Linked DNA regions of Mus musculus. Each later gene encodes a partner of the first gene's protein in a complex. Links are inferred from orthologs where the notes say so. Each region holds a gene or a part of one and is shown on either strand. Other genes may lie near its edges.

Region 1 (3,810 bases):
ACCAAGCAGCAAATTCATTTCCTTAATGGCTTTTGTTCACAAAAATAAATCAGGAAAGCACACGAAGCCAGAGCAACAAGTTAGTTTTCCAGTGAATTTTATTAAGCATCACAGTCCAAATATTTTCTTAACGGAGCTTAAAATGTTTGGATACTTATATCTTTCTTCATTAATAAACCAGTCCAATTGGTTTTGGAAGTACTGATAAACTTTTACTAAAAATACTAAATGCAAAATTTTCTCTAATATTAGACTGCCTCTAAGGGGGGAAAAACATTAAGATTTTTAAGCAAAAGTTTTGCATTATTTCTTACTTCTGCTTCACAGCACAGATTAGATCCTTTGCCATGAAATATAATTATATTGGAAATGTATCTATAACAGCATATTTTCAATTCTTTCACAGTGGACAACATGGCAGATCACACTCTCTTCCTTGACCCATGCATTTGAAATCTTCTTTCCCCGACTTCCATCCCTTTGAGTGTCATATGGAATGTATCTCCTTGTCTGCTGTTAAACTATGATGACATGTCTGTAGCTATCAGAAAGAGGAGCTGGGAAGAGCACGTGACCCAGCAGACCGAACAGCCTTTTATTTCTGATGAGTATGACATAGCATGTCACCACGGACTGGCATCCGACAGCTTGGAGGGAAGGATGGAAAAAGATGCGACCTTAAATGTGGACCATAAAGAGAAGTGTGCCTCTCTACCGGACCGCTGTTGTGGGTCAGAGACAAGAGACTTTCCTGGGAGGCCAATGGGTCACATTGCACAGGAGGTAGATGAAAGTGACAGCCAAGAAGGGGAAGAGCGGTTTCTATCGCTCGAGGCCAGCACAGAAACACTAGTGCACATTTCGGATGAGGATACTGATTCTGATCTAAACCTTATCAATGACTCACAGATTTTAACTCCGCAAAGACATGAAAGAGACAGCCAAGATAGTGTCAAAGGAGCAGGCTCCTTCATGAAGACACTGTCCACCATGCAAAGTAGCCAAGATTCTCATAACACCTGGAGGATGGCTGGTAAGGCTGATATGTCTCCAGCAGAAGGAAGTGGAGAAAGGAAAGATGTTGAGGCTATAAATAAAAGCCTGGGGCTTTGTAAGAATACGAGTGCAGATGAAACAAAAGATGTGCCCATAGGAAATACATTCCAGTCTTTGAATACGGAAGATGACGTCACTCCTAAGACACTACTACTTGATTCTTCGGTACTCATAGAAGATGTCACACCTGAGACACAACTGCTTGATTCTGCAGTCATCACTCAACAATGCAGGAAATCTGACTTCCCTAAAGATGACCAGGAAAATAATCGGCACCATGTCTTAGAAGAAGACGTCTTAGCAGCTCCTTATGTAGACAGAGGGCTGCCATTATTAAAAGCAGATTGCAGAAGCAGCCTTCTTCAGCCTCCTTCCTGCCCTGGTGGGATGTCAGCAGAAAATGACCTGGAGAAGAGTGGATTCTCAGAATATCAAAACAAAAGCACTCTCGGGGTCAGCAGGGAAGATGGCATGCAGTGTTTACACTTAAGGGGCCCCGTGACCACCCAGGAGACTGTAGACAATCAAGTCAGACTGCGCAAGAGAAAGGTAAGCCTCACACATAGATCATCTGGCTTTTTGAAGTGTTGTAAATAACTTTATTTTCATAACTCATGGATGTGCTTGGGCTGAAAATGATGCACAGATGTTTTGTTTGGTTTTGTTGTTTTTAATCCTGTCACGTAGCTAGTAAAATTGAAAAACGCTCACTTGATAAAACCATGAAACTCTGCGAGAGTTGACATAATACAATAATCTTACAGTTTCACTAACAACATCGTGATGGCTTGTGGCTCTTTAAAAGTGCGTTAAGATAGCATGGCTCAGTCTCCTTGGAATTTAGTACTCACCACAATGACACTCTGTAGTTCATGGCCTTCTGAAAAGGGACATGTAATTTTTATAAGAAAAGCAGCAGTGTGCTTAATCTTGTCTCATTTGTTTGAGCTCATTTTCGTTCCCTTTCACAGATCATACTTAGTCCTCAGCAGCCACGTATTTAAAACCAAAACAAAATCAACTGGAGACTGGTGGGATGGCTCAGAGGTTAGGGCCGTGTTGGTCTCTTCCAAAGGACCAGAGGTCAGTTCTCAGTACTCATGTGGAGTGGCTCACAGCTGCCTGTAATTCCTCTTCCAGGGGACCCCATGCATGGCCTCTGGCTCTGTGGGCCCCTGCACTTGTGTGTACACACCCCACATGCAGATATACACATACATACATGGAATTGAAAATAAAATAAATCTTAAGTCAAGGTAACACTGTTAATAAGGAAAGACAACTCTTTGCATGTGCTAATATCACTTTAAATGTCATGCTAGTACATCTACTATCAGTAGCGACACCATTATGTCTTTGCCTTGAAAGGGCCCAATACATGATACAATTATTTTATACCTAGGCCTTTTGAATTAGTCTACAGATTCCTGTAAGAAGTTAAAAAAAAAATACAGGGTTGCGCTACATGACCGTGGGTTAGCACCGAACTCTTATTCATGGTTTCAGGCTTCTGTTACTTTTTTTTTTCTTTTTTTTTTCTGACAGTGTAGTACTACATGAAGTAAAATAACTCTAAGGGACAGTTTCCTCTTTGGTCACTTTCCCACGGCAGTTGAAGGAACTAAAGAAACGTTTGTGAAACAGAAGATAGCTATTCTTATTTTTGTTTAACTGGGGCCATTAGCCCACTGTTGGAGGGGGGACCTTTCCAATTCCTTCTTATTGGTTTTTGTTTTTGTTTTTAACAAAATAGATCATTAAAGTGAATGTAATCATTTCAACTACATGAAATGAACCCAAAGACATTTCGGCAAAAAAATCAATATGCTTAGACTATATTACAACAGAATAATCTGTGCTTCTGGCGAATACTCTCTTCCTTACATAAGCTGTATTTAAATGTCAGGGTGCCAGAAAGTTATTATGATTGGAATGTTCATGTCACATTTCCAGAAATTTCCATATGTCCTATCAAATCTGTTGGAGAGAATGCAATAATGACACAAGGAAATATTAACTGACTTATGACATGGCTCCCTAAAATAAGACAAATCTGACCCAACCGCCTACAGACACACTACACATTCCTGCAACACATGTTCATGGCTGGACATTGGTATCAATATGAAGAGTACTGGAACGGATCTGCTCTTCAGCAAAGTGCTAAAGGCTGCACTGGGAAATTTATATATATTTGCAAGTTCTAATATAAATGTTCTATTTTAAGCATTTCAACCCCCAATGTGTTGCCCGATTATTGGTTGAAATAGTTCCTTTGACATTATAACCTTTGGCATGCCTCAGAATGAGTAAACTAAATGCAAACATTTAAGTTGAAAATTTGTTATAGAAAATGTGGTTAAGGTACAAATCATTAGTATTAGAATGGGTAATATCTTTTGTATTATCTGTTACTAATGAATGTTAAATAACGATAAATTGAAAATTAGCTCAAATTGTACCCAAATAATCAATTGTATACATATGAACAACACATACAGAGATATTCTTTGCTTCATGTAACTAGAAACTAAAAAAAAGCCTAATTTTGATCAACATATATTTAACTATCACAAATTGTATGGAATGCTATACAGCCATTAGGAACTTGGACATAGGGGCTTGTAGACATAGCTCAGTCAGTACAGTGCTTACCATTCAAGCAGGAACAATCAAATTTGATTTCCCAAATCACACATAAAAATCTGAGTGTGGCAAGACATCCCTGTAACCCCAGCATGCAAGGTCCAGAGA
Region 2 (4,549 bases), on another chromosome or scaffold:
AGGAGGTGGGAGGTGAGGATCTGGTAATGCTGCCATTCCTCAGGCACTGTTTGCCCTCAGCTACTTTCAGAAATACTCCACACTCCCTGCGGTGGGGACGCGCAGAGCCAACTAGACACTTAACTTTCTAGATCTAGGTGGGCAGTGTAAGTTCAGTGAGGGCAGAGGCTGTTTGGGAACCTGTTCCAGAGGAAAAGACTTTCAGTCCCACCAGAGGTTGCAGATGTAGGCCCATGTACCATAGGAGCAGAGGGGAAAAAAAATTGATCAGGGGAGGCGCTGCAGTGATCCATCTTCCCCAGCAGGGCTGGGTGCGGAATCAGGACAGCCCCGGTTGCCCACCTGGCCATCGGCCTGGAATGTCCTGGGACACAGCCAGAACTCAGGTGGGGATTGCAGAGCCAGGGGCCCTCTCCAGTTACAGCACGGTGCCCCACCCCTTGCCACTCACAGGGCCTTCTAGCCAGGGTACACTGGCAACGATGGGCTTCCTAGAGAACAGGCATGCAGCGGGAAGAGGCCTCAGACTCTTCAGTCTGACAGGTCTTCTGAAGGATCCCTGGGGAGGACTAGAGCAGCCCTTCATCTGTCAGATGGGCGTGAGGCAGAAAGAGGAGAGTCCTGTGGGACCCTGCAAGAGGTGCCAGAACTGGAGGAGTTGCACTGGGACATTCAGTAAATACCATGCAAATGAGGGTGACACGGTGTACATTCTTTCAAATGACAGCTAGCTACAGCATTCCAAAGGCTGCTGTCTAGAGCTTGGGCTGGGAACCCCCAGGCTGTTGACCCTTGTTGTAGGAAGGTTGTTCCATCCTTTCCAAGGGCCCCATACACCTCCTTCCCTTGACTCCTGGGACAGGAAGTTGGCCCTATTCCCAGGAGGGAAGCAGGAGGCCCTAGAGAGGGTGGAGTATGTGTTGGGAGGGGGCCTCCTGTCCAGTCCTCGGGTCCAGTGACAGCCACAGAGGAAGGAGAGACAGGCCAGAAGAGCCATGAAGGTAGCGCTCAGATTCTGGTGGGCGGGTGGGGTCCCCAGTAGAACCTCAGGTGCAGGATCTGGGAGCTAAGCCAGGAACTGTGGGTTGTATCTGGAGAGGAGCAGCTGGGGTGTTCAGGAGGAACCTCCAGTGCTTTGGGTTACAGCAAGATGGACCATTCCTGTAAGCCCTTAGCCCTTCCCGCTGGAACTTGGCGTTGAGGAGGGTACTATAAGATCCTTCTCCCGTCTGACAGGGAAGTTAGCCCTCATCCCTAACTTTCTTTCACCCTGAGGATGTGGAGTGCTGGGCTGTCAGGGGTACTGGTTCCCAGCAACACTCCCTTCCCACAGGAAATCCCAAGGGAGCATGAGGGTTCAGGCTAGAGACTGGCCGGGGACACAGTGTTCTCCACTGGCCCTTGAGCCCTGCCCTGAGACCTGAATTCCCACCCTGTGCCACTGGCTGATTCCAGGGCTGGATCTCAGGACTGCAGACCCCCTGCACACAGTGGCCCACTGGGTGGGAGGCAGCTCCAGAGATGGGGAGAGCCAGAGATCTTAGGCTGACACTCCCAGCAGGGTAGATCCTGGGAATCTGATCTCCTGGCCTCCCCCACATCCTCCCCCACCCCACTTCCTGGAGCAGCGACCTGCCCCCTTCCCGCCTGCACTTCCCTCCACTTCCAGGGCCAGGCTTCTCCACACACCAGCCAGACAGCCTCCCCTCCACCCAAGGGAAGCGGCTGCCTCGGCAGGCTGCTTCCAGGAAGCCCCAGGCCAGGCCCCAGCATTGTTCAGGCCCTGCAGCCAAGAGTCCAGCCAGCCAGACACCATGAAGTCCAGCGGCCCTGTGGAAAGGTTGCTCAGAGCCCTGGGGAGGAGGGACAGCAGCCGGGCCACCAGCAGGGTAGGAGTGCCCACCAGCTGGGCAAAGGTGGGGCAGGGTGGAGGTGCGGACAAGGCGGGAGGGCCAGGATTCAGGCCAGACCAGACCCTCTTCCTAGTTTCAGCCTCTTCTCCTGGCTGGCTCAGCATCCCCCTCCTCTTTCTTTCGCCTGACCCCCTGAGGTGGCTAGGGTAGGGTAGCAGTGTGATTCTAGCATCTGTTTTGACTTCTCTGTGTATTTCCTGGCTTGAGCCTGGATAGGCCCCGAGGGTTCAGCTAAGAGCTCAAGCCCTGACCTCCGGGGGAAGCTTGAGGGAAAAGGTATGGGAAGAAGGCAATGAGGGAAGGGAGGGTGCCTTCTACTGACGTCATCTGCACACGACGTCATCATCCACAAGTGCGTCCAAGTGTCCTGGTGGGTCTCGCCCCCAGTCGTTAAGGGACCAACGCTGCTCCCATGTTATTCTCCTCTTCACACTACGGTGGGCAGATCCAGGGAGAGGAGGGGACAGCGGGAGCTTGAACACACAGCGGTGAAGAATGTGCAGTGGAGTGGTGGGAGGAGTGAGGGAGATTGTCCACAGACTCTAGATAGGAGGGATGAACTGGGGTGGGAGGGGTCAGAACTGCAGTGAAAACTTGCAGTGAGTAGGGACTAAGGGGGACCTGGACAACTGGTGGCAGCCCAGCCAGCCACTGACCTCACTACCTCTGGGTGGGGAGGGGGCATCCGGAGAACCTGGCCACCCCTGTCATAACATGCAGAGGCAGCGAGGCAGCTGCCTGTGTGTCCCCACTGCTATTCCTCCTTCCGAGCGAACGTCTTAGACAATTGCTGCCTGCCGCCTCAGTGCACAGAGAGTAAACATGTTGTTCTGACCGTGGGGGAGGGGGTCATATTAGCTGCCTGGAGCTTGGGGACACTGAGAGCCAGGGGCTCAGAACTGGCTGCAGTCAGTCTGGGTATTATGTGATAGTGCTTGTGTGTCCTGGCCGTCAGCTCACAGTATACAAGCCTCTTGTGGGGAGGGCAAGATGGGAGGAGAGTCAGACCCCCCACTCTGCCAAGATTCAGAAAGCCCTCACATTGGAAGTGGGGGTGTGTGTGACAAGGACATCACATAGCTCCGCCACGTGAGAAGTCCTGAGTGAACCCTTAGGGAGGAGTTGACCCAGCCAAGGTGACGCAAGGGGTCACATTCCAAGCCCTGTAGAGGACAGGCCTCATGACTACCCTGAAACAGCTGTGGCCAAGTGTGCCTTAGAGTTCACAGACTTTTGGCTGGAAGAGAGGGAAGCAGCATCGCTCTAAGGAAAGGTCCCTGCCCAGCCTTGGAGATGAGCCCACTAGGAACACATACCCCTATTTGTCTGTCATCCCACCCGCAGCCGAGGAAAGCAGAACCACACAGCTTCCGGGAGAAGGTTTTCCGGAAGAAAACTCCAGTGTGTGCAGTGTGTAAGGTGACCATCGATGGGACCGGTGTCTCCTGCCGAGGTGAGGTGGTGCTCTTGGTGCCTGAGCCCTCCAGGCAGCACTTCTGTGTGGCTCAGGCTCTAGAGACAGGCAAATTCAGAAACAAATGCCCTCACTCTTCTTGACACCCACCTTGCCACAGCCCAGGAGATTTGTGACTCTACCACCTTCCCATCCTTACCTGTGACTAGGGTCTTCCCTTCCTCTTGCTCCTCCTCCTCTTCTTCTTCCTCCTCCTCTTTTTCTTCTTCCTCCTCTTCTTTTTCCTCCTTTTTCCTTTTCCTCCTCCTTTTCCTCTTCTTCCTCTTCCTCTTCCTTCTCTTTTTCCTCTTCTTCCTCCTCTTTTTCCTCTTCTTCCTCCTCCTCTTTTTCCTCTTCTGCCTCCTCCTCTTTTTCCTCTTCCTCCCCTTTCTCTTCCTCCTCATCTTCCTGTTCCTCTTCTTCTTCCTCATCCTTTTCTTCTTCCTCCTCTTCTTCCTCCTACTGTTCTTCCTCCTCTTCCTCTTTCCCCTCCTCACCTCTATTCATCCTAGACCCCAACCCCCGGCCCTCTTCCCTTACTCCAGAGCAGAACCTGTTGATAACCAGCTCTGTTCTTCAACTCCTAGTAACCTAGTGTACCAGGGTCCCAGAGCTGGCTTCTAAGGCCTGTGGGGCTGGAGCACAGTTATTTTGACTATTCCCGTAAGCCTCTGCTAACCTCTACCCTTTCTCTCTCTAGTCTGCAAGGTGGCCACACACAGAAAATGTGAAGCAAAGGTGAGTATGTGGTTCTATCTAATGGGGAGATGGTGTCTTTCCCTGTCCAGACAGGCATCTTCAGCCTCACTGGCATGGGCCACCATGTCACCCTGTCCCCTGTCACTCACTCCTGGACACCCCTTCCTGGGTGGCAGGGGTGTTGTGTTGGGCTCTTTAAGAAACACCCTACTCCACCCCTGGAGGGTTGGCCCAGGAGGGTGGACAGTGAGACAGCGTTTGTCTTGGTGCTGTGCCCAGGCTGCAGCTGGCGAGAGGATGAGGGGGGGTGGCTGCGGGGGGAGGAAGGGCGGGGTGGATAGAGAGGGAGCAAGATTTCAGAGACCAGGCACCCTGATGGGAGGTGCCTTCCCTCTGAGGAAAGGGTCCTCAGGATGCCTGCGTTGGTCTCATCCTGGGTAGTGAAAGCTGAGCCTGTTCAGGTATAATACCCTGTAGCTGGTAC

What was found.
Region 2: the proteins of Dlc1 (region 1) and Tns2 are in contact, whole or in part, in an NMR structure (PDB 2LOZ), measured with the Homo sapiens proteins. The link is inferred for Mus musculus from reciprocal best matches to the Homo sapiens genes DLC1 and TNS2. Residues at the interface, in NP_001335010.1 of Homo sapiens: Glu811, Asp812, His813, Lys814, Pro815, Gly816, Thr817, Phe818, Pro819, Ala821, Leu822, Thr823, Asn824; in NP_736610.2 of Homo sapiens: Asp1268, Leu1269, Leu1270, Arg1271, Gln1272, Gly1273, Ala1274, Ala1275, Cys1276, Lys1317, Ser1319, Ala1320, Gln1321, Thr1324, Leu1387, Asp1388, Pro1389, Asp1390, Gln1391, Val1403, Leu1404, Leu1405, Gly1406.

What each region holds. Positions count from the first base shown.
Region 1 is NC_000074.6:36,935,355-36,939,164, reverse strand, and holds part of Dlc1 (rho GTPase-activating protein 7), read left to right. Parts: intron 1-406; 5' UTR 407-531; coding exon 532-1,605; intron 1,606-3,810. UniProt on the Homo sapiens protein: Functions as a GTPase-activating protein for the small GTPases RHOA, RHOB, RHOC and CDC42, terminating their downstream signaling.
Region 2 is NC_000081.6:102,101,273-102,105,821, forward strand, and holds the start of Tns2 (tensin-2), read left to right. Parts: upstream 1-1,661; 5' UTR 1,662-1,814; coding exon 1,815-1,889; intron 1,890-3,257; coding exon 3,258-3,366; intron 3,367-4,066; coding exon 4,067-4,104; intron 4,105-4,549. UniProt on the Homo sapiens protein: Tyrosine-protein phosphatase which regulates cell motility, proliferation and muscle-response to insulin. Phosphatase activity is mediated by binding to phosphatidylinositol-3,4,5-triphosphate (PtdIns(3,4,5)P3) via the SH2 domain.